Rhinolophus ferrumequinum: one gene and its partners. The protein of the gene in region 4 interacts with the protein of the main gene of each other region in a biochemical or structural test. Links are inferred from orthologs where the notes say so. Each region holds a gene or a part of one and is shown on either strand. Other genes may lie near its edges.

Region 1 (7,350 bases), on a different chromosome or scaffold from region 4:
TCTGTAAAATGGATATAGTAATACCCACTGAGCAAGGTTCTAGTGAGAACTAGGTGAAATAACAAGTGCTGATAAAAACCCACTGTTGCTAATGCTGACGTTCATAAAGACTCCTTACTGATCCTACAGAAATTATACTCACTGTGAATATTTCTCTCAAATGCCCTCTCTTCTATGAATTTTGTGAGTTCACATTTCAGAAGAGAAATTGTTCTCCATTAAACCTGCAGCACTTTTTTCCCCACTTATCTTAAAGTTTTTATACATACATATTATATTTATTTCCCTACGAACATGTTCCATCTCTTCTGCTGAATTTTAAACTCTGCATCATGGGCAGAGATTATGTATGTTTGTATTACTATTTCCTGGAACCGAAGAGAATAGTGCCATGGGCTAATAGCTGCTCCATAAATATCTGGAGTCTGGATATGTAAAGAGAAATACTATCATTGACTCTTTACAATCCAATTATCACAATATCAAAACAGTTTAATGTCATTGACAAGTTAGACAAATACATTGATATTTGGTACTGAAATAATACTTAACGGATATCTAACACAACCTATTGGAAGACCAAAATTATTTTTCAGATGCATGTATTTATTTAGCATTCATCTTCGCATTTTATTTTTCACAACAGCTGTGTGAGATTAGCTATTAATCTCTATATATTACTCACGAAGGAGCTGAGACTATGAGAACTGCTTGAGCCTTAGATTGACTCAAGCAATGACCTTTCCAACAAAATCCCCACTATTTAGCAATATGATAAAAGCCATTAGGAAAAAAAAAAGAAAGAAAGAAAAAAGACAAAGTCCTGTCTCTCAAAATCAGGTTATAATATTTCAGGCAGGAAGCTGAAAAATACATTTAAAGATACATAAAGTAGCAGTTAGAATCTTGTGTATGTAGGGCATTAAATTCTCCAAGTCCACACATATTATGCATTTGACCTTCATCATGCCAACTGAGGCAGCCAGAAGAACAGACATTTATGTACCCCGATCAACAGATGAGCCGAGAGATGACCATTTTAAATTTAACATCCACTGCCGAACCAGAATCAGAATCTAAGTTAGCCGACTATGTCTTGGGTTATGATCAACATATTTATAGAACGCCTACTGTGTGCGTCCTAAAATACAACCTAGTCTATTCACAAAATTGATTTTTTTTTCTTAATTTTTAAGATGAAGTCAGTATTTGCCTGAAAGCAGTAAACCTGACTTGGCGTATTAGGCCTAGTTTTGCAAATAAATCACTCCACCCCACCCCTTTCTTCTGACCATATCTAAACATACATCAAATAGGTAAAAGTTTGATTGACTAAATGCTGCTTTTTTGCTGTGCCTCTGGGTTTTTGTGAAAGAACCTCATCCAGTTGAAGTAAGTAGAATTGGTGTTGGGTGTCACAGGCGTTACAAAGCAATACGTATGTTAAAAAGCCGAGAGGTTTCTCAGAGGAGTTGCCACAGGTTTCAGTGGCATGACAATTACCAGGTGGATGGATCATTTAACGCCTGCTATGACCTTTACAATAGTGAGGATCATTATTTTAAGGTTAATTTGCATAATGGTTGGCCTAGCAAGAACAATCCTGAATGCTAATAGCTGCAGGATGCATTAACATTCAACGTTATCTGGGCTGAACTGCTAAAGGAAAAGTTGTTAATGTTTGACTCTTTAAGTTTCATCTCAGGTCGTGTCCACACATAATCAAAGGAGGATTTCTGGGATCTCTTCAAACACTGGCAAGAAATGACTGGAAGGGAATAGCAACAACCTTCTTCAGATAGCATCCTTACCTGGTAGGCTTTGCTATTTTGTACATAACTTGCCTGCTGTCTCTGAGGTAGCTGAGATCACCCCTCCCTCAAACAACCCACCCCCACTCTTGCCACCCTCTACATCTTGCACATACACCATATTTGATACACCGAGCGAGAATGTATCTCACCTTTTGGGCTGAAAAACTTTTCCTGAACCTTTGAAAGAGGTAGAGTTGACCAGGCTAGCAGCAGGTGATATTTTCAAGGCAAACAGATCCTATCACGTCAAAGTAATAACCCTGCATTCTGAGCTGCAGGTGTAAGGTGGCTAGTAGCAAAGAGAATAAAAACAGATAGGTCATCTCCATTTAGATTTATCGATTTTTAATATTCCTTATTGCCTGGAAATGGATAGGTATGGTTATCCTGTACTTTGTATCCCACATCGGTCTTTGGAAATTGTTTATTTACTTACTTATTAATGTATTGACTTTTCTCCCAAGCGTTCGAACTCATTTCCACCACAAGAGGGCAGCCATCTCTTAAAAACAACCAGAGAGCCTGGATCTTCAGAGAAAATGGGGCCACAATTTAGGAAGTTGTGCTTGTGAAAGGCATTCAGCAGTCCCTCAGAAATTGCATACTTACACATAAAAGAAATCCTGTGATGGGCAGCACTGAAATGGAATAGAGTGTCCACAAATGGCCAGTTTTCCCTCAGATTCATGACTATCGAAGATTATTTCGTAAACTGACAAGGTGCCCCTTTCGCAAGTTATGAAGGCCTAAAGCTGCAAGACATCCTGATGTCAGCACCAGAGATTTAATTTTCATCTTTACTTAAAGAGCATTCAAGACCAATCCACTTTCTCCTCTTTACAAGCTACATACTGATTTAGGTCTCACAAAGTTTATTTCGTTTTTTAAATCTCGCATGTGACAGAAACAATTGTTAACTTCTCAATTAAACTTGATAGGAATGGAAGTAGTTTCGGAAGCACAATCAACACTTTTCGACTTGCATCTATGAGTAGAATGTGTTCTATTGCCAACTTGTTTGATGTCCAATGATTCAGAGTGACACTCAACTTCCATGGCACTTTATTTTCAGGGGGGGAAAGCATGTTCTTGAATATTTTGCCCACCCCAGCCCCTCATTTATTTTCCTAGTAGGTAAGCTTCCTCCAAAATACCTTATGTGACCTTTATACTCTCAGAAACAGTGAGTGCCTAATTCACCTCTGTGGGTTGCTAATCCGATTTACATGAGCAGAACCTAGAATTATTTTAGCTTCCCAACTGAAAAAATAATGCACATGGATAATAGATTGTTATGAGCTCCCGCTTCAGACTTTTCCCTTTCTGTTTTACAGGCTTGAGGTTTCTGTGTGCAGGCAAATTTGATTTTGCTATCTGGCCTATTCCAAAAATTTTCTGCCCTTGGCTTCTGGGATCATTCAGGCAACTTAGTTGTGCTTTGCATGGAAGATCCTGGAATCCTGAGAGGGACAGAAAGCCTGGGAGCTCCTGGTGCAGAAGATTTGGGAAATATTTCAGCTGAGGAAGACAAGTGACTTGGCCAGATGTCATAAACCTGCGGGGGGCCTGGTGGAGGGGGGTGGGACAAAGATTCCAAGGTCTCAAACCAGAATTGTCTTATAGGCTTGGCTCACACTGTGAATTATTTTACCGTCCTCTGAGCTGCTAATCGCCTGCCTCTGAGCTGGGTGAGATAAATATCACAAGGCATGAAGTGATTGCTACCATAAAAAGAAATAAAATACCTCTCATCCTCTCTTCAAACTGATACACACACACAGTCCAAGTTGCACATGTCATGTATAGGAGGATGACATCCATGTCACATATACAGACATATTTATGAAAATGTGTACTTTCGTTAGCATATATTTACATATATGGATATATTTAGAGACATACACGCATATTTTTGTATGTTACATATATTTGTCTGAAAAAAATACGTGCACATTTATATAAATGTATACACATAAGTTATACAAATGTAAATGCATATATATATATATATGTATGTATATATGTAAAAGTTTAAATAACACCCAGTTTCCAAATCCTAGTTTTCTTTTCATTCTCCTCGCACTCAGGGAAACACCAAGTGACTACCCCAAGCTTATGCCAAGATGCTTTGTAACTTCGTTGAGTTTTTCTTTTTTATTTAATCGTCTATTACCGAAAAACTTCAAACTGAAAGTTGAATAACGGGCCGGGTAGGGAAATGAGGGCTCAACCCCGTATTTGTCCCGGATTTCACCCCGGAGCGCCAGCGAGGGTCTGGCGCCTCAGCAGCTAGCCCCTTTGAGGTCAGAGGCTGGAGGCGCGAGCGCCCCCCTCGGCGGCCGCGCGTCCCGGCCCTCGGCCCCACCCCGCCGCGGCTGCCCCGGCGCGCCGTCCACACCCCTGCGCGCCGCTCCCGCCCGCTCGGGGATCCCCGGCGAGCCGCGCCACCGAGGGGGAGGTGTTCGGCCTCGGCCGGGAGGGAGACGGCAGGCGGCGTCCCCTTTAAAAGCCGCGAGCGCCGCGCCACGGCGCCGCCGCCGCCGCCGGAGTCCTTGCCCCGCCGCGCTGCGCTGCGCCCGGCTCGCGCTGCGCCCGCCGCTCCGCTTCCCACACCCAGCCTGGGCTTGGCAGCCGCCGCCGGACATCAGCCGCCGCAGGCTCCGCCGCTGACCCGAACGACCTCGGGGCGAGCGCCTCCGGGATTACTGGGGTCTCCGAGGCACCCGCGCGCTTCCTACTCCGCTCGGGCTGGAGCGCCCGGCCGTGCGCGCCACTGAGCCGTGGCCTCGGCTCCCCGGGCCGCGCCAGAACTGAGGACCCGCGCGCAGAGCGCGGGGGAGCCGGGAGTCGAGACTGAACGTGGGGATGCCGGGTACCTCCCGCCGGAGCTCGGGGGCCTGGGACGAGCCGGACGAGGTGTGATCGGACCCCAGGCTGGCCACAAAGGTTCCAGCAGCTTGGCCCGGGGACTAGGAGAGCAAGGAGAGAGCGGGGCCACCCGCCTCGGCGACCTGGGACTCGGCTCGACTCGCCGGAGAATGCGCCGGAGGACGACGGAGCGCCGGAACAGCGGGGGTTGCAACTGGCTGGCGCTAATGGGGGTGCGCTGGAGTAAGGCAGAGTGATGCCGGGGGGCACCTCGCCCGGCACCGAGATCGCCGCTGCGCCCTTCCCCGGACCCGGCGTCGCCCAGGATGGCTGCCCCGAGCCATGGGCCGCGGCGGAGCTAGCGCGGAGCGCCCGACCCTCGCCCCCCGAATCCAGGAGCCGCTCCCGCGCGGGGCCAAGCGTCCCGGGGGCTCTGGTTCCTAAGGACAACGACAGTACCAGCTTTTCCTTTCTCCCTTCCCTTCTCTGCCCCGCACTCCTCCCCCTGCTCGCTGTTGTTGTGTGTCAGCACTTGGCTGGAGACTTCTTGAACTTGCAGGGAGAATAACTTGCGCTCCCCTGCTTGGTGCCGGTGCCTTTGCCCCAGCGGACCCAGCCTCCGAACCCTACCGGCCCTCCACTCGTCCGCTGGGCCCATTCCCGAGACGCGGTTCCCTGCGTGAGGAGAAGGACTACCCGGACGACACCCGGGAGGAGAAGGAGGAAAAGAAGGGAACTCGGTCCCTGCTCCAGATCCTTCGGCCAGAGCTTTTTCCATGTGGAGGCTCTTTCAATGGACGTGTCCCCGCGTGCTTCTTAGACGGTCTGCGGTCTCCTAAAGGTAGAGGACGTGGGCCCGGGGCTGGCTCTGGGGGTGGGGGGTGGGGGGACGCGGGGCCCTAGCAGCCGCTGTGGCTGAGCTCCAACGGGACCTCGCCAGGCGGGACGTAAACAGAACCCCCCCCCAAGTCCACGTGCAGCCGAGCCCCTGCTGGGATGCCCCCATCCTACCGCCCCTGGCGACCGTCAGCATCGCCCTCCTGGCTCGTACTCTTCCGCCCCTCCTCCCACCTCTCTCTTCGGTATTTTATTAGGGCTGTTAACACTTAGATGATTAAAGAAAAAAGTCAAAGAAATCCCTTGGGGAGGGTGGCCCCTGGATTTCACCCGTTAGCTGCCAACCTGTATGCCCTGCCATGGCGATCCCTTCTGCCTTCTTCAAAGTTCTCCAGGAGCCCTGCTGTCTCTACTCAGAGCTACGTCCCATTTGGGAAAATACTAAACGTTGGGGTTCTCCCTGCTTGTTTCCAGGAATTCGAGGGGGCAGTACTTCAGTGCCACCTTGTACTAACATGTGAATTAATAGATAAACATTTTTGTAATCCCAGGAAGAGACATGTGTATCTGAACCGCATTGGAGGGGTGGGGCGAGGGTCCGGGATTGGAGTGTGGCCTGTCCTGACACCTCTGAGTTTAGAGACGTGGGCCACAAGTTGCAAGTGGCTTCGGAAGTTGTGGCCTTGAGTTTTCTGGGTCTGGAAGTTATAGTCTATGTGTGTGTATCAGGAAGTTCTATACAGTGCTACTAAGGAAGTCACATGCACCATTCGTGAGTGTTTATATGCAAGTGAGCGCTGGGCAGTTTGGGTTTGGGTTTGCTTAGGGGACAAAAGGGTGTCGGACCCAGCAGTGGTTTTCCCAGGTTCCCTGAACTGGCCGTCAGCACGAGTATCACTTAAAAAAAAAAAAGAAAAAAAAAGGTGACAGTCGCTGACGCTGGTGGGGGGGGAGTGGTGCAAATCATGTCAGACGACCTGAGAGTGGGATGGGAGGGGGAAAGCCTTCTAGCTCAGAAACTAGGGCCCTTCCATTCTCCCAAACGTTGGAGCTTCAGCCGCTCTGAAGTATCCCTGAGTGTTGCAAGCCAGGTAGGCACCCCGGAGGAGGAGGCAGGTGGACAGAACGGGAGTCGGGCCGCCGGGCGGAAGGGGGGAGGGCTGGGCGGGGAACTCGGTGACTCACGTCGGCCCTGTCCGCAGGTCGACCATGGTGGCCGGGACCCGCTGTCTTCTAGCGTTGCTGCTTCCCCAGGTCCTCCTGGGCGGCGCGGCCGGCCTCATTCCGGAGCTGGGCCGGAGGAAGTTCGCAGCGTCGACTGGCCGCTCCTCGTCCCAGCCCTCGGACGACGTCCTGAGCGAGTTCGAATTGCGGCTGCTCAGCATGTTCGGCCTGAAGCAGAGACCCACCCCCAGCAGGGACGCCGTGGTCCCCCCCTACATGCTGGACTTGTACCGCCGGCACTCGGGCCAGCCCGGCGCGCCGGCTCCGGACCACCGGCTGGAGAGGGCAGCCAGCCTCGCCAACACCGTGCGCAGCTTCCATCACGAAGGTGAGGTGTGGGACAAGGGAGTGGGGGCGGGGACGGGGGCGGGGAGTCATCCCGCGAAGCGCCCCACCGTGGGCAGACAGCAGGCATCCCTGGAAGGGCAGCCTGGCCAGGGTGCGGAAGCCGTTTCCCGTCTTGCCTCTGTTACGAACCTTTAGGAACCTGGCTTGAACACACTGCCTGTGTGGTGGGGGAGCCAGGGATTCCCCATTGGTAAATCCGCACCCTTTTCCTGGCTTGCAGCCAGGAGAGCGACTCCTCCTCCAGGAACTGGAGAGAAAT
Region 2 (6,929 bases), on a different chromosome or scaffold from region 4:
TGCTATAACTTGCAACAAAAAGAACTCTATATGATACATTTAAAATTTTTTAATTGTAGTAAAATACACAACAGAATTCACCATTTTAAGTGCACAGTTCAGCGGCTTTTAGTACTTTCACAATGCTATGTGACCATCACCACCATCCATCTCCAGAACTTTTCACGTTACAAAACTAGAACTCTGTACCCATTTATCAATAACTCCCTTCCCCTCAACCCCTGGTAACAACCGTTCTACTTTCTGTCTCTATGCATTTGACTTCCCTAGGTGCCTCATATAAGTGGAATCATACGATATTTATCCTTTTGTGACTGGCTTATTTCATTTAGCGTGTCTTCAAGAATCATCCATATTGTGGCATGTGCCAGAATTTCCTTCGTTTTTAAGGCTGAAATATATCTATATCTATCTATCTATCTATCTATCTATCTATCTATCTATATCTATATCTAGTCTTATTTTACTATAATATAAGACCAGATATAATATAATATAATAATAATAATAATAATATAATATAATATAATATAATATAATATAATATAATATAATATAATATAATATAATATAATATAATATAATATATAAGACCGGGTCTTATATAAGACCGGGCTTTACATTTATTTTTGTTCCAAAAGACGCATTAGAGCTGATTGTCTGGCTAGGTCTTATTTTCGGGGCAATGATATATATATCACATTTTGTTTATCCAGTCATCCATCAATAAACACCAGGGTTGCTTCTACCCTCTTGGCTATTGTAAATAATGCTGCTATGAACATGGGCATACAAATATCTCTTTGAGACTCTGCTTTCAATTATTTTGGGGATGTATTCAATACCTATAAATGGAATTGCAGGGTCATATGGTACACAATTTAGGGGAGATGAAGAGGGGGAGAAGAAGGTGAAGATGATATTTTGTGGCTCAATTAAGGTAGCCCTTCCGTGAAGTCCCAGCAATGAAAAGCTGGTAGCAACAGAAGCATCCTTTTGTATGAGGACCCCCACATCTTCTGTAAAAGAGAGAACAAGACCCGAACCTTGTTCCCTAAGACCCAAAGTTAAGGAGATCTGTCCAGATAGACCAAGGCCGATTTATACAGAAAGGTAACAAGGTCTCTGAAATCATACCGCTTTGAGTAAAATGGGAGTCTGGGCTGTGACCCAGGCTCCCCATAAAAACCCAGAGTTTTGTAAGAGAGGGTAGCATGGGATCAGAATGTGACCACAGCTGGCCTCTTCTCTCGACCCAGCCACCTGCCGCAAGGACGTGCCTTCTGGAGAACAGGTAAGCCTGAGATTGTGCCTAAGAAAGCTGATACCTTGGTGCCCAAAGGGAGACATCGTGGAGACCGGGGCGAAACCTGGACCAGACACAGCATCCCAGCAGCTGCGCACAAACAGCTGTTAGATGTGTGTGACCCGTCCCCAACAGCAAAGCCAGTGTCACTAAGAAGCAACAGCAGGGGAAATCTGCTAGGATCCCTTCCTCCTTCCCCGCTTCCAGCAGTAAGAAGCTGGACTGACGCCATCCCACCTCCATCTCCTTTGGACTAAATAAACCTACAGTGCACTTTGACCATTCAGGAAAGAGATGCCCTGAGAGGAACAAACTAGACTTTTCAATAATATGGATCTGAGGCCTCATGCAAGTATTTAAAAACAATAAAGGAGATGCAGACATATTGATACTCTGAATGTGTGGGGCCGATCATTCCAGAAATTCACAGGCATGTTGCATTGCACAGCGCTGGGGGTGCCACCCACATCAGTCTTATGATGTGTGACCAGTGCCTCCAAGCCTTGTTAGTGTGCAGCCTCCATGGCCGGATTGGTGACCCGACCCCACATGTAGACAGGCCCACAGTTCTTTTTCTGAGATTCCCAAACCCGAAACTATCAGAAAACCTGAAGTTCCTTTTAACTTCTTTCATGGCAGAATTTGATCTGAATGGATACGTGGGCTTGTTTCTTTGTTTCACTGCAGAAATATTAATGTTTTTGTTTACAGGGTATTATCCCCAGCCCCACGGGAGATATTATAGTACACTTGCCGTACCAAATTTCCAAACTCTGAAGCTTTCTGAATCGCAAAACACTCCTGGCCACAAGGTGTTAAATAGGGGACTGTGGAAACTGCATCTATCTGAAAATATTAACTGTGGGCATCACCAGACAGAGAGAGTATAGTTTATTTTTATTTCCTTCTTTATAATGTTTTGCTTTTCCCAAATTATCTGCACCATACACTACTATTATAATCAGAAAAGAAAATCTGTCATGTTTTTAAGGAAACATCAGGTAGCAGCCCCTTGAGCTTTCCTGAGCACATTCAGGCCACCCCCATGCATCCCTTGGCTCCGTCTGGAGTGTGACAGATTTCTGGCTGCCTCCAGGGCCTGGAGCTGGTGGGGGATCCTGCTTTGCTCTCCAGCTCCGCCCAGACCCCTCCCACTGCACAGCTGCAGCTCCACTTCCCGGACCTTGCACCCCTTCATCAGCACAAGAGTTCTTGCACTGAGCTGGCTCAATGCCCAGCATGCTTCCTGCCCCCTTTCCAAGCAGCACTTCTGAAGCCATACCCTTCCCATCCATTCTCCCTTGGCAGTGTCCCCAAAGATGGGGACAGCAAGTTCTGTCTCGGCCTGGCTACTCGGGGCCTCCTTGTGTCACCCTGCCTCCACTAGTAGTGGGAGAAAAGCTGGGCGTACACTGGGATCTCTGACCTCAGCCTGCCATGGCTCCTCCTACATCTCCTGAGCCTGCTCAGCTCACTGCCACCCTCCCCAGGAGCACCGCCAATGTGGAAAAGCTTCATGTTCCAATCCTCTTCAGAGGAGACCCCCAGGTATTTTTAACTGTGTTCATTCTTTGCCTTGTTCAAAATCACACATGATGGAAAAGGACAGAGGCTGAGTGTGGGCATGATGCTTTTAAAATGACACAAGTTCTGGGGCCTCGCAGGACCCTACTGTGTTCTGTTCTCAGGCCAGGGCATGTACTGGCTTCAGAGCTCCTCTCCCGCTGCTTTGTCTCCCCAGATTGCATGGATCCCCTGATGGAGGAAGGTGGCCTAGGCATCCACCCCTCTGACATGAGCAAAGACTCCCTTGAAGACCAGTGACATAGCTCTTTTGGGGTCCCTGTGGAGTCCGTAGTGAGCAAACTGGGATGCATAGGGCTTCCTCCTCAGCTCCCAGCTCAGTCAGACCTGGCATGGAGAAGTGGCAGCCAGAACGCAGCCACGCAATTGACCAGGGCTTGCAGGGACTGCCATGACACCAAGCACGCAATTATCTAAATCCTCACAACTCTCTTCTGCACCAGAAGTGACTTACTTGCTCCAGAGCCCACTGCAGGGAATAGTGAGGGAGCTGGAATTTGAAGCCTCACCTTGTCTGTGCCACCTCACTGAATCATGTACCACATTCACGTGTGATCTCTAATGGCCGGGAACTCGCTTGGCAGATGAGAGACGCAGGTACAGAGCACGGGAGCCACACCTGCAGGTCCTGAGCCCACAGCCAGAAGGCCTCTCACACACCCTGCTGCGGCCCCCACCCCACCACCCACTCCAGCCCGGGTCTGCAGGATCCTCTGGGGGTTTTGTGTTGTTTCTATATTTGGAGGACTTTTTGGTCATGATTGTTTCCTGGATTCTTTGTTTCTGTGGTCCAGGAGATGGAGCATATGTCACCCCGTCTTGAGGTTCTTTTGAACAGAGCTGACAAGGAAATGAGAAAGGATCCTAATTAAGGGGCGATAACCCCATGGAGAAATTCGGATTCTTTGCAGCAGGCCCTGTCCTTCCCACAAGCCCTGCGTGTTTGTCAGATGTTTATAGAGCCTTCATTAACGGAGAGCTCCCTTAGATAAGAGGTTGGAGCTTCGCATTGAGGGCCAGATAAGAACAAGTGGAGGACACTGGGACGGCGGGTGAGAGCCTGGGAACTGGCCAGGGTGCTTGGTGCAGCGCGCTCGGCAGGACGATGCGGGCCGGCTCCTCCTGCGCTGCTCCCCACACCCGCTAAGCCCAGGTGGCCACCGGCAGTCTCCTGTCCAGGGCAAGCTCGCCGTCCCAAGATGTGCCACGGGGCGCTGTGGGTAGCTCTGCCTGTGCTCTCCCTGCTGACCTGCTCTGGGCAGGGGAAGCCTCTGGAGAGCCGGGGCCGGACGCTGACAGCGGGAGATGCCCATCGCCTGCTAGGGGGGCCCGGAGGTGAGCACGGAGCGGGCACCTTCGACCTGAGGATGTTCCTGGAGAACATGAAGGTGGATTTCCTGCGCAGCCTCAACCTGAGCGGCGTCCCCTCCCAGGACAAAACCCGAGCAGAGCCACCGCAGTACATGATCGACCTGTACAACAGATACACCACTGACAAGTCGTCCACCCCGGCGTCCAACATCGTTCGCAGCTTCAGCATGGAAGGTAGAGTGGGCTCCACCTGGGCTCCTGCGGGTGGGGTCAGGGCCACTCAGTGGTCCACAGCTGTGCCGCCCAGTGTGGCGGCCCCGGGCCACACGCGACTCTTTAAGTTTCCTTTTCAGGGAATTAAAATGAAATAAAATTAATAACTTAGTTCCTTAGTTTCACTAGCTTCGATTCAAGCGTCCAACAGTCACATGTGGCTGATGTCTATCCTGTAGGGCAGATCATGGAACATTTCCGTCATCGCAGGAAGTTCTACTGGATAGCTCTGCTCTAGGAGAGTCTCCTTCCCTGGACCCAGTGCCAATTTAACTCAGGGGGAGCTTCGGGAATGCCAGCTCCCTTTCTTCCACCCCTTGCTTTCTTTCCCCTTCTCTCACTGGTCCTTTCCCACTTAGAAACAGACAACTCATTTAGCCTCCAACCAGCTGGTATATCTTTAAACATTGAAAGAATGTCTATTTCTCGCTGATCAAAAGATGTCTAAAATTCAGATACATTCCTCTGAGAGCTAAATGTTGGAGGACTACTCAATTATTTTCTAAATATAAAATAATTTCCCTGATTTAGGAGGACTAGAAGAAAACAAACATTGACTTAGGGCTTCTGTTCACTAATCACACAATGTAGGTAAAATGAGTTTGTGAGCAGGGAAGCCAGGCTTGCAGAGGCTGTAGGAACACTCCCAGGTCACATAGTAGTTAAGTAGCTGGATTCTGACCCAGGCCCGTCCGTCTGCACAGCTCAGGCGTTTCCTGCTGCTGCCATCTCCCGCTAAAGAAGCAGCCGCACATGGCCTCCCTGCTCCTGGGCTGAAGTGCTGTAAATCCTGACAGGCTTTGCTCGGAGCGCCAGCCGGCAGCCAGGCCTGCCCGGCCTGCAGAGTGTACACCCGTCTCAAAGACACTGTTGTGGTCACATTGTATGCCCAGCTGTGCCAGATTTTCTGATTGCCCAAAAGAAAAAGAAGAAATCTAGATTTTATGTGAACTTGCCTGATTTTTAAAACACAAGCTTTATTATTTTTTTAATGCCATCTACCAGCATCTCCCCAGGCCCATGGGGCATGTCTGTAAGCTCTGCTTCAGAGGAAGGCTGGGCTACTTTGGCTGGACCTAACCACCAAATCCCATCGGGGAGTCCAGCATTTAGAGTCATGTCCCCACCCTCCAGCATTGTCCATGTCCCAGAAACAAGTGCTCTGATCTGATCCCAGCTCTGCCTATGGCCAGCACTCCTGTGGAGACCAATTATGCTTCCCTTTACAGACTTCACAGATGGTCCGAGTGTGGCTCGGGGGCTGGGGGACACTTGCTTTCTAGATGTCTGACTGCCATCCCACAGCCATTATCAAGGCATGCCACAGGAAGAGCACATTAGGTCACTAATGCACTACTCACAGACCCCTTCATTACTCATGTCACAGCAGCTCGGCACGTTCTGCAGGAGCTGGAGTAGCTGTGAGGGCACCACAGAGAACTGTGTGAAAGGCCACATGCTTTGGGGGAGGAAGGTCGGGGGAGGACACAGGAATGTTGATTGAGCATCTTCTATGAGCCAGGGACAATGTTGGGTAAGTTCCATGCACTGTCTTGTCGAAGCCTCAAACCAACCCTGGGAGGCAGGAAGGATGAACCCCATTCTGCAGATGAGAAAACTGAGGCACAGAGAGACTCAGGACTTTTCCAAAGTCATACGCCTAGGAAAGGGCAGAGTCAGGATTGACGCTTTAGTCTGAGACACAAAAACCTGCTGGTTTTCAGGACAGCATAGAGTCTCCCTTCAGTTGGCACATAGTAAGTGCTCACAAAATGCAACTCTTCTTCCCTCTTTGTGACCAAGCCATGGTATAATAGAGATGTGCTAATGGCCATGAGTCAGTCAGAAGAAGTAGGAAACTGAGACAGTTGTGTGGCTAACAGGCAAGTCCCATTTTTGCCTGACATGAGAAAGAAGTTGAAGCTCATATATTTTTTTTTCCTCAAACATTAAAAAAATCATCCACTTTCACTTTGCCCAGAAGTTACAATTCTGAATGATTTTTGCACTATGTAGATGCAGATTTTTAATATTGTCTTAATGCTAGAATTTTACCTTCCCCCCCAGGATCTCCCCTTTAAAATCATACACTCAGGATCAGCACTCAGAACTTGACAGTGAATGTTGCTGTTTTGTTTCATTTGGTTCTTTTTTTTATAAGTGAGGATCTTTACAGAATGTGTGCACTTTGGCTGCTAACCAACCTAAAGCCAGTTTCCACATCTGTAAGAGCGGAATAGTCATTAGATGGTCCCAGGGTCAGTGTGAAGAGTCAAGTGAAATTTAGATGCAAAGCTCTCAGTGCAACTCTGGGCCCACAGTCGATGCTCAATCAACATGCGGGCCTGCTCACTGCAATGCACGGCGTCTCCTGCCTCTGCTTCTCTTTGGAAGATCCTAAACCTACCTTTCAAAATACTCTGCTACATTAAAAGCTTAAGTGAAACAAAAGAGA
Region 3 (7,174 bases), on a different chromosome or scaffold from region 4:
CCCTTTTTCAAAGCCCCCCCCCCCCCTTCAACCCTCCTCTCATCTGGCAACCATCAAAATGTTCTCTGTATCTATGAATTTGTTTCTGTTTTGTTTGTTTGTTTATTTTGGTCTTTAGATTCCATATATAAACAAAATCACATTGCATCTGTCTTTCTCTGTCTGACACTCCACTCAGCACAGTACCCTCCATGTCCATCCATGCTGCCGCAGATGGCAAGAACCCATTCCCTTCCATGGTCTAGCGATATTCCATTGTATATATGTACCACCTCCTCTTTACTATTCTTCCATTCACAGACACCCAGGCTGCCTCCACATCTTGGCCATTGTAAACAATGCTGCAATGAAAATATGGATGCACAGGTCCCTTTGAAGTAGCGTTTTGGGTTTCTTCGGAAAAATATTCAGAAGTGGAATTATGGGTCCTTCTTTGTCTCATTATAGTCTTTGTTTTAAAGTCTGTTTTGTCTGGTGTAAGTATTGCTAACCCAGCTATTTTTTTTTTCCCATTTTCATTAAATAATTTTTTCTATCCCTTTACTTTAAGTCTGTGTGTGACTTTCTATCTGAAGTCTCTTGTAGGCAGCATACAAGGGGTTTTGTTTTCTTATCCATTCAGCCACCCTATGTTTTTTTATTAGAGCATTTAATCCATTTACATTGAAAGTAATTGTTGATAGATATGTAGTTGTTGCCATTTTATTATTACTAGTTTTGATTTTTTTTTCCATCTTAAAGAAGTTCCTCTAATAGTCCTTGTAATACTGGTTCAGTGAACTCCTTTAGCTTTTTCTTGTCTGGAAAGCTCTTTATCTGTCCTTCAATTTTAAATGATAGCCTCGCTGGTAGAATAATCTTGGTTGAAGGTCCTTGCTTTTCATCACTTTGAATATTTTGTGCCAATCCTTTCTGGCCTGCTGGCGATAAGGTCTTTAAAGAAGTAAATAAGTTAAAATGAGGTCATTAGGATGAGCCCTAAATCAATACAACTGGTATCTTTATAAGAATAGGAAATCTGGACACAGATCTGTACACACACAGAAGATCGTGTAAACACAGAGGAAAAAGACAGACATCTACATGCCAAGAAGGGAAGCCTGAGAAGAAACCAATACTGCTAATACCTTGATCTTGGACTTCTAGTCTCCAGAACTGTGGGAAAATAAATTTTTATTGTTACGTCACTAAGTGTGTGGTATTTGTTATGGTAGCTCTAACAAACGAATACAATCTGATTAAATGTAATAATACAAAAAATGTGTCAATCACAAAGGGGTTTAATCACCTCATTTAAAAAAATATGCAAGAGTTTGAAAACAAAGAGGTCAGTTATAGGGCAGCAAATTGGAACTAATGCCTATCAAAGGAGAGGTGGTTAAGTCCTAAATACAAACACATCCATGAGTTAGTCATCAAGAGGCTGATAGAATAAAATATTGAAGTAGGAGGGGGTAGAAGCAGACAGGAGATTGGAAAGACAAAGTGAATACATGATATGAAATGTGCAAAAATAGAGCAAGTTATGGGTAAAGTACCTCAAGGTATGAGGCAAAGTTTCCACTAATCTTGTAAATAGGCTGAAGTCACCAAGTTTCATAATTTTTACATATCTCAAGGTCATAAAGCCTTAAATAGAAAGGCTAGTTCAGACAGAAAGTGTCGCTTTGTGTGTCAGAGACTACCAATGGCCTCCCAATATCCGTTCTCATCTTTTAATTTATAATAGCAACCCTGATTTTAATTTTTTTTTTTTAGTTGGCACATTTCCATTCCACTAAAATACATCCTAGGCCTCCCTTATAGTTACATTTAACCATAAGACCAGGCTTCTGGTTAATGAGATATAAGAAGTGCATGAAACTTCCAAGAGGTCTCCATTAAAGTATGGAGTGGACCTTTCTTTGCCCTTTCTTCATTACTTTCTTGGAATGTGAAAATGATGGTTGAAGTTCCCAAACCCATCTTAACCATCTTGGACCATGAAGCAAAGGCCACACTCCAGGGATGGGACTGGGTGGAGACAGAAAGGAAGGAACTTGGACCACGATGACCGAGCAGCCTCAATATCAGGCCTGAACCATCTATTTCCAGAGTTCTTTAATATGAGAGAAACAAACTTCCATCTTAGCATATTGCATATAAAATTAAGTGTATATTTCTGCATACACTTCCTCCACAATCTGTTTTCCTCCACAGTCTGTTTCTAGCCTATTTTTTCAGTGTCATCACCTACCATCCCATTCTGCTTTTTCGCTCATGAACTCTATTTGCTATTCCTTCACTACTCCCATCATTATCCTGATTCCATAATTTTTCTCAATTGTTTTCTCTGAGTGGAAATCCCTATGTCCTGTTTTCTGCTTCTCTAAATATTAAAGTTTCCTCATTCTTAAAAAAACTATACTTACATTAAGATATAAAGGCAATTTACACACCTAATCTGTCACTCCACTTACAGCCAGCATTTCCTGAACTTATTTGGTATCTCTTTTCTTTTTACTGTCCTTTGTGTTTCTGCTGAAGCTGTGTGCCCAGATGAAAAGGGCACTCTCTTCCCAGGTACAGAGTAGTGATTTCCCCCTTAGTAGTCTATAAAAAACTTTTTTCCTCCAAATTTCTTCATTGATGACTTTCTTGATTTTCTTTTCTTATTTCTATTTGATCTCTTCTCTCTTGGTATTCCAATGTCCCTTAGTTATACCTTAGTTTTGTCACTTATCATACTCTGCTTTTCATTATGATCCTGTTATTCACTCATTCAACCAACATATGTTGAGGACGGTTGGGTGTGACAGTAGTAGGAATATGAGTTGGAAGTTGAGATGTAATTTTTAAAATTCCATCTCATTTAATCCTTTCAACAACCTTTTAAAAATCTGTATTATTCCCTTTTTTCAGATGGGGGAACACAGGAGATATTATGTTCCCTGCTCAAAGCCTGACAACTGGAAGAAGATGGAACCAAAACTTGAGATCAGGTCTTCTGACATTACCTCCTGTGTTCTTTCCACTATTCCATATTAACTTCTCTCAGGATTAGCAAATAAGAGGCCTTCCTGAGGAATCTGCCTCTTTCTTGTTTTGTTGCTAAACACAGTAGCTTCTGTTTTGATTATTTAATCTGAATTTGAATTGCATTAATTGGAACTGCACTTTTTGGTCCTCCAAGGTCCCCACTACTTCCTGTGGTCTGTCCAGGTTTCTTCCCACATTTAGATCACCTTCCTGGCCCTTCAAGCTTGTAAATTTTTGACCCTTGACAGTTCCTTAAAGCCCTGTTTTGGAATTCTACCTCAAAAGTCAGGAAGCTGGGTTGAAGTCACAGCTAGTTCATCCACTAGTCTTAAAAAAAAAAAAAAAGGTTGACTTTTCCCTGTTACCAAAATGAAGAGACCTCTCCTCCTTTTCCTTTAAATGATTTGCTTGAGCAAATCTGTAATTATAAATCCTTCCACTGTCCCATTGATATGTCTATAAATATTTTTTTAAAGCTAAACAAGCCTCTAGTCAGGGACAACTCAGGAAAGTTTTTCTCAAAGTCCTGGGAGCCAACTCTTTGAAATGTAACTATCAGGGAAGATATTGTCCCACCTAACTTTACTATAGGAGTTACCCTAGGTGCCATGCTCCAAGCTTTATGTACCTGCTTGTCGTAGAGATAGTTTTATTTTTTTTCTTTGGATAATGTCAAGTAACAGATTGTAACCCCAAGGGCGACTTACCAAAGAATGTATATAGCGAATGGTGTTGTTAACTTCTTACATGAGAATATGCACGTAACAGATTGTTCAGCTTGGCTACATAAAAGGGTGAGAGTTCTGTCTTTGTAATCCCATTAGCGGATTTCCTGAGACACCCAAACCAGGCTGGTTTAATGCTTACTGAGTAATAGAGATTTTTTTCTTCTTTTTTTCTTTTCTTCATTTGTGGAGATTTTCTGAGATGGCAGGAGAGTTTATTTTTAATTTTTCCTCGACAATATCAATTTATTTATGTCTCTTACTTTTACTATCCTTCCTCCCCCCACCCCCAAAGCAAATTAAGAGGGTATCTTGCTCCTCGCTCACTTCTCAGTTCGCTTTGAGGACTGGGTGAGGTAACGCAACGCGTTCCGCGCCAGAACCACGACTCCCAGCATTCCTGACGCTCCCAGCGCTGTCGGCTTCCTCTTCCGGTCCGAGGGCAGCTAAAATCGAAAGTGGTGTGTTTTGGGCGCCGCGCCGAGATTGATTCACCTTCACCTGTGCGAGCCCTAGTTGACCCAGGTGGGAAGCCAGACAGGCAGTAAAACATGAACGGAAGAGTGGATTATTTGGTCACTGAGGAAGAGATTAATCTTACCAGAGGACCCTCAGGTATGTGCGGAACAGGTCATCTTTGGTAGTAGGTACTTGAGGTGTAATTGCAGAGCAAACACCTCTTTTGCTGAGCCAGATTCTTTTGGCTTCGGAGCAGGCAGGCCCCAAGCTAGAGGTTTCCTGCAACGCTTTTGAGCACGTAGAAGAATATATTGGTATCCATCATTAGCCAGACATGGATCTGAGGAATCCACCTCATTTTTGAGTCGGATACCACATGTATTTATGGTCATGACGGGTTTCCTTTTTGCTAAATGGTACCAGAAAATCCTGGGGGAAAGCCTGCTTTTTAGCCAGCATACCGTGAACACCACACCCCTCCTTCCATTGCCTGCTTTATACCTGTTCCTATGAGAGACTGTTTAGTAAAAATGGGAGCATAAATGGTGTGGACTGTAAATACTCAGCCGTTTTCTTGGTGCTTGTATCCCTCGCTCCCCTCTTGTTTGTGGGAAAATGTCAACTAGAATATTAAAGCACGAAGAGGCCTCAGTGATCTATTAGAGCAGTTCCCAAACCTGGTTTTGCCTCAAAATTAGCCAGGGTTTTTGGGTTTGCTTAAAAAAGCACAACAAAACAAAAAACCCCAGCAACTTAATTCCTAGATCCCATCTCTAGGAATTTGGACTCAATGCAGGTGTTTTATGGTTTGGGTTTTTTTTTCTTTTTCTTTTTTTAAACAAGCGCATATGCTCTGGCCTGCCAACAGTTTTCTGTTTCTTGACATGGATAGTGGTTACCTGATTCTGATACGGCCAAATCCTCACTTACCCCTACAGTCCTCTTACCCCTGATTACTCTTCACTCACTCAACATTACTACATGTTAACATCTTAACATTACTACATGCTGCCTGCCTAGAATTTTGTTGCCTTTCCTTTACAGCTCTCTAGGGTATGGATTCAGAGCTTTAGCTTTGAGATTATGTAGGTCCAAATCTGGTACCTAATCTCCTACTAGTTCTTTGACATTTATTCTTTGACCAGTTTTACTGATGTAATTCTTAGTTTTTGGTCTGTAAAATGTGCACGATAGTACAATGCGCATCATAGAGTTAGGAGAACAAAATGAGTTAATCTGTGTAAAACATGCAGAACATTGCCTGACACTTGGTAAGCACTACGTAATTGCTACTTTTGTTATTATTTTTAATAGATGAATGGTTAGATAAACACAGTAAATCCCACTAAATACTGTTATTCCAAGAGTCTCCAATAAGTCATCAAGTACCATGAGCTCTATCTCTGAAATGTTTCTGTAAACCTTCCACTCCTTTCTGTTCCCATCACCCGTACCTGGAACAGTCCATCATCTTTTCTCATATCAAAGATTATTCTCCATAAAATATGGCTTTCAGAATCATCCATGCCTTCTTTCTTGTTATAAAACATTGGAAACTGACTTTATTTATAAGAATATAATTCATTGCTAATCTGCATGGTTTAGTGTCATGCTCCATACGAGCTCCTAAACTTTTGTCAAAAGCTCTTATTCCCGTCTCTTAGATTCATTTTTTTCCCTATTTTATGTAAATTTCTCCTCTCACTTAATTTTTATTGACTTTACAGGCTAATATGGCAAATTATTGTTAAACCAAAATCTGTTTTTCTGTGGTTTTCATCAATTGGTGCTTGTTTTCCTAGGGTCCATTAAGACAATGGGAATACATTTTCTGATTGCCCTGCAAATATATTTAATGGCATCTAGCTGTTCTTCTGTTTTGTCTCTTCCTTCTATAGCCTAAATATGCCTAGTTATTACATTAGCTCTCTTGTGATGTGGTTTGAGGTTTGACTCCTAGGAATTTAATGTACTTTGAGAGAGTCCTTTTGCTGTGGTATCCAGCAGTATTTCCAGGATCTCTTAACTAGAGCAGAGCAGACTCTGATATTATTTGCATGTTCTAGTCACTAAATATTTTTAAAGTTCAGTAGTATCACTTCACCTTTTTTAGTATTTACCTAACAGTGTTGCTTAATGTTCAGCTTACCGTTTGCTAAAATTTCTGATCCTCTTGATCTTGCAGACCTAAAGTTCCTAGTGTTAGCATTTTTCTGAACCACTGGAGTTAGAACAAACCTCAAGGGACTAATTAAGAAAAATAATTATACCTAGCTAATATATTTCACCCAGAAGCAGTTTAATTTCTGGATTGTATGTGCATTTATTCAAAATGAATGAATGGATTTATTCACTGGGTCACTGCTTCAATTTTCCCAATCATGTTCATGTCTTACTCACATAAGTTGATAAACTTGAGTTTAGGAGAGTAGAGCCACAAATTTTGTATTGAACTTGGATTAAAACAGTCATTTGAAGTTTGGTTGGTTCAGTTAACAGGAAAAGATATTAAGTTTCTGTTTATCACCTCACAGCTATTTACCAGGTATGTGGTACTCCTAAGAAGTCTCACAGTCTAATTCAGCTTTTCTTCATTGTGTTATCATGGAGATACACAGAGAAGAAGTCAGTTATCACCACTAGAAACTTCCAGTAATTTTGATAGTCTCATAGAGATCTTTATTTTAATAGAACTATGAAAATCCTCTTGTTCTCAGTATGCATTTCTGTTTGTAGACAGTATTGTCACTGTTTGTCTTTGTACAACTTCCTATGCAGGGACCTGATAGTTTAATCAGGTAACTGCAAGAATGTATATACCTTTGTTTTTTGTGCCAGTGTTGTCAGGGGCAAGAGTGTTGGATATTTCCAGTGTTTGGGCCCATTTTGCAAGGCAAATGAACTATTCTTTCTGATCTTGCTTATTGCAAGGAAAATAATGAAATCTTAGGAAAATTGGGACAATGAAGTGA
Region 4 (8,011 bases):
TGAATTTGCCTCTAGCCATTGCCCGATTTGATTTTTTTATAGCCAGATGTCTTTAAAGAGTTATTTCTGCTGCCTCTAAATTCTTATTTACCACTGACCCTTCAAACATTTCAGTTTGGCTTCTGCTGTAACTACTGTCAAGGACATTTAATTCTCTCCACGATGTCGTATCGAGTGAGTATTTATTTATTTATTTATTTATTTATTTATTTATTTATTTATTTATTTATTGTCCCTCAATTTACTCATGTCTCTACAGGAGTCAGTACCACTTCTATCACCCTTTGTAAAACACTGTCATGGATGACATATCTTTCTCTTGGTTTTTTATCTCATCTCTCTCCGTGCTACTGTTTCATCCCCGTTCCTCACTGTTAATCCTCTGCTTGCTAAATTTCTTTTCGCGTTTACTCTCCATTTAGAGGCTCTCATTCATTTCCATGAACTTTAATACCATTTATTTGTGTGCTGACAATTCCCAAATTTCTATGTGTAGAAATTGCATGCTCCTCTACACTTCAGTCACCTGCATCCAACTAATTACTTTATATCTCCATTTGGATGTCTCATTGGCAACTCAAATTTAACATTTTCAAGATTGAAAAATTTCACTATTCGTGTCTGCATTCCCTTCCCTATAATGTCTCTCTCCCCCTCAATCTACCCCATCTCAACAAATGACACCATGTCCACTCATTTGCTCAAGAAAAAAAAGTAGGAGTCATCCAATTCATCAGTAAGTCCTGTTGATTCTACTTACAAAATAGATCTTGAATCTGTCCACTTCTTTCCACACTAGTTCACAGTACCAATAATCTCTTGCCTGACTTACTGCAACACCCTAACTAGTCTCTCTAATTTCTTTGGTAATTTCTTGCAACCTGTTCTCCAGATAAAAGCCAGAGTAATCTTCTAAAGCATAAATGAGACCACACAACTCTTTTACTTAAAATTCTCCAATGGCTTAATGCTTTACTTTGAATAAAATCTAAGGACCTTACTTTGGCCTACAAGATCTTGCATAGTGTGGGCCTGTACTGCTCTCTTTATTTATATCACTCTCCTCGTTGCCATGAGAGCCTCCTTTCAATTTCTTGAACATATCATAGGCTTTGTACATACTATTCCTTCTTAACTAGCTCCTTTCACGGCTGTCTCATTTTGTAGGTTTCGGTTTAAGTGCCACTTCCTTTGTAAGTTCTTCCTGAACTTACATTGTCTCTAAATAGGTCCCCTCTTTCTATCTAACCCATCATTCTTATTCTTTATCTCAGCATCCTGTCTGATTTTATAAATAATCCTTCCCACTTGAAAATTACTTTTTACTTGCTGTTTTTGTCTTCCTCTTGATACTGTAAGCTCAGTGAGGGCAGAGACTATATTCATTGCACTTCGCTATACAATCGCTAGCACAAATCCTATAGCTAATAGTTACTTGTCGAATAAGTGGATACCACAGATAAAGATGGACAATGTAGTAAAAATGACTAATTCTTATGCAGTCTTGCATTATAGAATTTTAGAACTATAGCATCAAAGCTTTATTCAACATTTTAATCATTTGTTAAAATGGATGGAGGGCACTATTTTTGAGAGTCTTGCGTATATTGCCTGTCCTCTGCTCCAGTGCCTTTCAAATTATCTGTGGTGAATTTCCAATCTACGAGACTTTTGTAAAATACAATAAAATTGAATTACAAAAAATAAAAACAAAAATACCAGCCCAATTTTTCTTATTACTAGCTTCAGCAGACACAAAATTATTCTGTCAAGTTTCTACAAAATTTTTTAAAGCATTTATCAATGTCTGCACTAATCTCACTGAAGATTATATTACTAGCTTAGTGTAGCCTTTTCATCAGTGTTGGATACATTATTTCCACTGTAACTAGTTTCTCTTCAACTATTCTCACTTTTCTGTCCTAGACTATGCTGCCTTAATGTTTTGTCCCTCACTTATTCTCACATCCATATTCTCAGTATTTCTTTTTTACCTCATTGGTACAGCACAATGCTATGGATAGACCTAAGTAGAAAGAGAGGTATAACAGCAAAAGCTAGGATATAGGAATTTTTCTTCCCACCTTGTGGGAAGATGAAGAAAGATTCAGTTTGTGTTGCTTATATGTAGCTGTTGTTACGTCCGAAAGCAGGTGAATACCTTAAGATGAATTTCCTTCCACTATATGCCATACTACCCAATATCAAAAGCAAGTTCAATTCCAGCTTCTCTTTAGAATTCAAGGTTTAAGCTTAGTCCATACTTTTTTGAGCCTGATATATCAGTTTCTAGGGTAAAAAGAAACCATCCTTCATTCTGGAAGCAGTCTGTGACCCTAATTTACCTGTCCCCTCATCCAGCCATCACACACTTGAATCTCTAGGTTGAACAGGCTTCTCAAGGTTCTTCTAGCTGGGAATAATTTGAAGTTCAATTGAACTTTTTGGGGGGGACTTTGAACTTGAAATTCTATCATTGGACTGGCTACAAAGCCAGGTCTCAGGTTTGGGGATTGAGTTGTTAGCTAAAGTTGTTTAACACATAATGTCTAATGCTATGGGAGACCAGAATTCCTTTCGTGTTTCCTTTTCCTCACCTTTCTTCCTAATCCAGTTTGTACAGCTTGCACTGTGTTAGAGAGGTATTGGATTTGTAGGACAAAAAAACAGTGATTCTAGAAAATAGGAAGGAAAGAGGGGCAATAGGGTCAGCAGCAGTTTACCTCTGTCTCCTTTTTAAGCTTTGGAATTCCAGTGGGAATTAGTCACGTACTCTTATGTCTTAATAGGTTAAATTATTTTAAAAAATGCAGAAGGTGGGGTAAACACAGATTTAGGAACAAAGTAGATAACTACCGGTAATGGAATCTAACTTTTCCCATGGTGCTATATTAACTCTTTATTAGAGAAGAATATTCTAGTGAAGACTTTGACTTATTGCTCCTCTTTCATACTACAGAAAAATAATTTTCATCTTTTCTTACATTCTTATAGTGGGGAATTTGGGTGGTAAGATAAAGGATGTATTTTCAAGTTTTAGTTCTATTACTGGTTATTCCAGTTATTCCACTTGCTCTGGTTTCACAATTCAAAAAATATTGAAGTGATGCAGAGATAAGACAATAGTGGGGCCTGATCCAGGGTATAACCGACATCAAATTCCTGAACTGAAGGTGGTTCTAAATGAAACACACTCTCCATTCCAGAAACGTTAGCAGCAAGTCTTAATTCAACAAGCTAATGGAAGGTTTGTATTTATTCCTCTGAACAGCTCATAAAGTCCAGAGAACTACATAATATGAGATCATTTAGATACCTTGAAGATCAACTTGGGACTTTTCTTAACTGTTGCACAACATGAATCAAATTCTGAGCACCATGACTTGAAAACTTTAAACTCTTGGAGAGTTTAAAGTGCCACAATGATTGCTAATAACCCTGTTGTAGAAATGGGCAGACAATTACAGGATGAACTTAACAGAAATACAGAGTAATTCAGAAGAAGAGAAAAATAAAACACTGTAAATACAAGGGAAAAGGCTTGGCTTTGTGGGAAAAATGTGGGAATTCATAAGCTACAAGCAAACGATGAATTAGCCATACAGTACAATTGCTTTATTATTTTTATTAATAAAACATTCGGAGAGTACATGTGAGAATATAGGATTAAGAAAACGGCTCTTACCCGCCAGTCATTTATGCAATTATTTATTAAGCACCCATCATAGGCTAGACACTCTAAGTGTTGAGATAAAACGGGGAAGAAGCCAGATAAGATCCCTCCCTACCTTCACCCAGGTCGCTAAAGTGTGGTAAATGACAAAGCTAGTATCTTTAATACTGACTTTAGTTTGTATTCGGCAGACACTTCGAGCACAGCAAACACTGTGAGCTTCTTCAGGGTAGGGATCCTATTTTTACATTTCGGATCGAACTCCATGCCTAGCACAGCACCTTGTAAGCAATCAACTTCGACTAAGTGTGAAAATAGGCCCTAAAAACCTAAAATTTGAAAACGTAAACACTTGTCTGACCATCAAACACGTCGATCAAAATCTGCAGGTTTCCTCTTCAGCGAGCAATAGATATTTGCGAACCTATTACGTGCAGAACAGCTCTCAACACAATGCTTTGTGTACTAAAAGGGATGGTGGGAATGGATTCAAATTGCACATCGTGATAATTGCCGTGGATATCCCGACCGGGTGGACAGCCCATCCTCCGCGAGGTTTTTTTTTTTTTTCTTTTTCAGCCGAGAGACAAAACGCTTAAGCCACCGGGGTGGGATGCATCGCTAAGACTGGGCGGCACAGACACCCACCCGTTCGCGCGCACCGAGCTCGCTCCGGCAGCTCGGCAGGCACGGCGGACCGGCTCCCACCCGCGGCTTCCCGGCGCCCGGAGTCTCGGAGCGGACGAGGCGTCCCCCCAGAGGAAAGACAGGGCGCCGCAGACGCCCCCCTGGAGGAGTCACCACCACCCGCCCCGCCTCGAGGTCCTTGTCTTCTTGGGCTCCCTCGGACCATTCGGGCGTGCGCTCCGAGAGGCCGGTGGGGCGCGAGTTCGCTACTTGGCGCTCCGGAACCCCACCGTAGCCACTCGTCCACCCACTGGAACCGCACAGCCCAGCAGGCCGAGCAGGCCGGACGCCGAGGCCTCGCGGTATCGAGCCTCCGTCCGCCCCGCCTCCTCGCCCTCCAGCCGGCCCCGCCCTCGCTCTCACCCCTCCCCCGCTCTCACCCCTCCCCCGCTCCCGCCTCACTTCCCCGACAATCTCCTCGCGCTCCCGGCCCGGCACGCGCGCCGCGCCTCTCAGCCGCTACCGCCGCCGCCGCCGCCGCGGAGCGTTCCTTCACGGTGCCTGGCTTCCAGCTTCGGGCCGGAACCGGAAGTTTAGGGGGCGGGGCCGGCGGAGGCCAAGGGACCGAAAACGCGGCCGAGCCCGGAGCCCGGAGCCGGAGCCAGAGCCTGGACCAGAACTTGGCCGCCGCCTGCACCGCCGCCGCTGCCGCCGCCCGCCGCTCCTTCCCCGCTCCGCTGCCGCCGCGGCCGCCACCGCCGCGAGCTCAGCCGCCAGTGGTCCGCGGACTTTGGGTGTCCGGGTTGAAGGTCGGTCCGGACGTCGGACCCAGCTCGGTTCCCGGACTGTCCGGGCGGCAGCGGACGCCGCCGCCGCCGCCGCCTCGTCGCCTAAGCCTGGCGTTTTGTTCCGAGAGACCCGAGAGGCGAGCCGAGCTGACAGTGATTTTGACAGTGATTTAAACCCGCTTTTGTTGTTGTTGGCTTTTCGTTGTTTGGTTTTGTGTGTTGTGCGTGTGTGTGGCGGTTTTTTTCCCCCGTGGTGCATTTTTTTTTATTGTTGTGCTTTTTTTTTTTTTCTTTTTTAACCCCGTGAACGTTTTTCTTTTTGGTCGGGGCTTCCGAATATGTTTTATGACGGTTGATTTTACACCAGGAGGTTTGTCTCCGAGGAAGACCTAGAGAACTGGATATCTAGCGAGAACTTCCTACGGCTTCCCCGGCGCCTCGGGAAAATGGGAGCTGCTGCAAAGTTGGCGTTTGCCGTCTTTCTTATCTCTTGTTCTTCAGGTAGGTGCATGGAGCGTGTCGCGGCGGGGCTGCAGCCGCTGCTGCCGCTGCTGGCGGCCGCGGTTGTTGTTGGGTCGGCGAGCTCCAGTGGAGGCTGGGGAGTTTTTCCCCCCACCCCGAGCCCCTAGGTTGCCACCCCCAAGGTCTGATTGCGATCTAGAAACCTCCATGAATTTTCCTCGGTTTGCGTTAGGTTAGTAACTGATAAGAGTGACTGTTGTTGTGGAAGTGAGAAAGTCATGGTTTTGTGGCCATAACACTGGATGACAGCGCTGGTTGGGTTGCAATTCAGCCGCAAATACCACAAGTGACAATTTATGCAAAGGTTTGAGACCCGAAAGGTGTATTCCAACATGTCATTTAGTGTGGCATCCTCCAAAATAAGGGTTTCTTAAATCGTCTTTTAATTAGTGCTTCACCAGTGACTATCAGGGCAGAGATCAAGTCAGTTGTTACTTAATTTTAACCGTGAGAAACAATGCATCATATCGGCGGTTTCATCTGGGTCTTCCCTCACGTTTTCTTCAACTTCAGTGTCCAGCAGTGTTAAAAATAGTTGTAGTTGTTGTTGAAGTATTAACTATAACCCAGTGCAGAAGAGGTATGCCGCTGCGTGTTGGTAATATGCTGGCTTCCAACCACCATTTATGTGCTCTTTTCTGGCAGAGATTTTGCTTACCTACGGAATACTTATTTTAAACGCGTTGTATTGAAGCATTGTTTTCCATTTGGAACAGCCCATTTGAAATTGTTCATACTGTCAGATGCACTGAAGTCATAAAATAGGTTTTGCCCCAAGGTTGGGAGAATAATCTGGCCTTTTGGTATTTGAAATTTTGATTTTGTGAGAACGTTCAATGGTTGCAACCAGTGGTTGGAAAACTGTCGAGTCTTTTGTATTTGAAATTCTACAAAAGAATACAGCATGTAGCTGAAAGGTGTGCAAAATGTACATAACAGAAGAGTTAGGTTGGTAGATGAAATAATGTTAAAGTCGCAGTGGATCTATTTAACATAAAATTCAATATTCAGTAACTAGGTTGTGAGAGAGAATTATGGGGGGTGGGAGGAGGAATTGACAGGTTTCATGGCCATATCTTTATCTCATTTGCCACAGGGAAATTAGAGGGTGGTAGTCTTTTCTTTGTGTACCTCTGTGGGGTGTGTGTGTGTGTGTGTGTCCGTATTGGTCTGTCCTCCCCACCCCCCTTTTTAATAGAATCTTTTGTAATGTATAGAATTTTGCTGAATGGTACATTTCCTTGTGGTTAATAAATGGATAAAGTCTAGTCTCATGTCTGTAGTGGTATTGATCAGTTCCGGGTGGGCTGAATGTGTTGTGAAATGGCGATCATTGCCAGAGATTAACCAAAAGAATCATGTCTGTTTAAATGGAAGAAGGAACATGCTTAAAGCAGGCTGACAGTTCTTTTTGTGCTCCGTTAGGGGAGGAAGATAAACAGTGGTGTCTCTGAAATGAATGAATACCTTGATAATATTAAATCTCTTGCTTTTGAAACATGGTTTAACCATGAGGTTTGTATTTTTCCTGTACTACTCTTTCTCCTCTGCCCCTATATGTTCTGGTTGGTGAACTTCTCTTGTTCAAATGCCTCTTTCTGATCTCCTGCCCTTGAGTAGGAGGGGCATCATGGCCACTGACCAAGGAGTTGTGGACATTATTCTCTCTCAGGCTCACCTGAGTAACACTAATTGGTGCAGGAGGTTATTCTTGAGCAGTCTGGAGGTATTCTGGAAAAGCAGGCTGTCGCTACAGACCTTACAGCTCCCTTTGCTTGGTTTGGGAGTAAAAATAATTGAGCATTATTTTTTTATAGGATTATTTTTACTGAACCAGGAGGTTAATTTTGAAATAATTCGTTCATATAGAACATATAGATGCTCTCCCTACATTAGACTAGTATTAAATATTGTTACATAGTTTTTTAAATAAACATTCCTAGTTGAACTAAAATATAATTTTATTGAAAATAATTGAAATAATCGTAAAGACTTTAATCCATATTTATACACGAAGATTTTTAGTACTTAAAATGTCTGATTTTTTTTAAAGGTCTTTTGTTATAAGTCAAATGCTGTCTATAAAAGGATTATTATGTTTCTTTCCTAATTGATTTTTCTATGTAATTTGTAACCTGGCATGTTTAGGAGCATGAGGATGGCTATTTTTATGAGAATTGAAAAAAATTCAAGGTTTCAGTTTTTTGTTTCTGGGTATTTTATTTTATTTATTTTTTTTATCAAATGGAGAATAGTAGTAAAGAGCAATTTTATTTCAGGTATAGGATGGATATTTACTGTTTTCTTTAGTACTTGTGGACTTTGATTTTTCACTTTCTGAGGACTGATTATGCAGACTATTCTTGTAGGGTATGGCCAAATGTATAATTTCCTACTCTTG

Evidence for each region.
Region 1: the proteins of ACVR2A (region 4) and BMP2 form a complex in vitro, tested with the Homo sapiens proteins (3 studies listed by BioGRID and IntAct, with this or other methods). The link is inferred for Rhinolophus ferrumequinum from reciprocal best matches to the Homo sapiens genes ACVR2A and BMP2.
Region 2: the proteins of ACVR2A (region 4) and GDF2 form a complex in vitro, tested with the Homo sapiens proteins (2 studies listed by BioGRID). The link is inferred for Rhinolophus ferrumequinum from reciprocal best matches to the Homo sapiens genes ACVR2A and GDF2.
Region 3: the proteins of ACVR2A (region 4) and SYNJ2BP form a complex in vitro, tested with the Homo sapiens proteins (2 studies listed by BioGRID and IntAct, with this or other methods). The link is inferred for Rhinolophus ferrumequinum from reciprocal best matches to the Homo sapiens genes ACVR2A and SYNJ2BP.

What each region holds. Positions count from the first base shown.
Region 1 is NC_046306.1:27,878,194-27,885,543, forward strand, and holds the start of BMP2 (bone morphogenetic protein 2), read left to right. Parts: upstream 1-4,331; 5' UTR 4,332-5,523; intron 5,524-6,721; 5' UTR 6,722-6,728; coding exon 6,729-7,071; intron 7,072-7,350. UniProt on the Homo sapiens protein: Growth factor of the TGF-beta superfamily that plays essential roles in many developmental processes, including cardiogenesis, neurogenesis, and osteogenesis. Induces cartilage and bone formation.
Region 2 is NC_046299.1:62,336,617-62,343,545, reverse strand, and holds the start of GDF2 (growth/differentiation factor 2), read left to right. Parts: upstream 1-3,911; 5' UTR 3,912-4,089; coding exon 4,090-4,435; intron 4,436-6,929. UniProt on the Homo sapiens protein: Potent circulating inhibitor of angiogenesis. Signals through the type I activin receptor ACVRL1 but not other Alks. Signaling through SMAD1 in endothelial cells requires TGF-beta coreceptor endoglin/ENG.
Region 3 is NC_046289.1:26,979,295-26,986,468, forward strand, and holds the start of SYNJ2BP (synaptojanin-2-binding protein), read left to right. Parts: upstream 1-4,172; 5' UTR 4,173-4,294; coding exon 4,295-4,358; intron 4,359-7,174. UniProt on the Homo sapiens protein: Regulates endocytosis of activin type 2 receptor kinases through the Ral/RALBP1-dependent pathway and may be involved in suppression of activin-induced signal transduction.
Region 4 is NC_046291.1:71,832,131-71,840,141, reverse strand, and holds the start of ACVR2A (activin receptor type-2A), read left to right. Parts: upstream 1-5,010; 5' UTR 5,011-5,534; coding exon 5,535-5,589; intron 5,590-8,011. UniProt on the Homo sapiens protein: On ligand binding, forms a receptor complex consisting of two type II and two type I transmembrane serine/threonine kinases.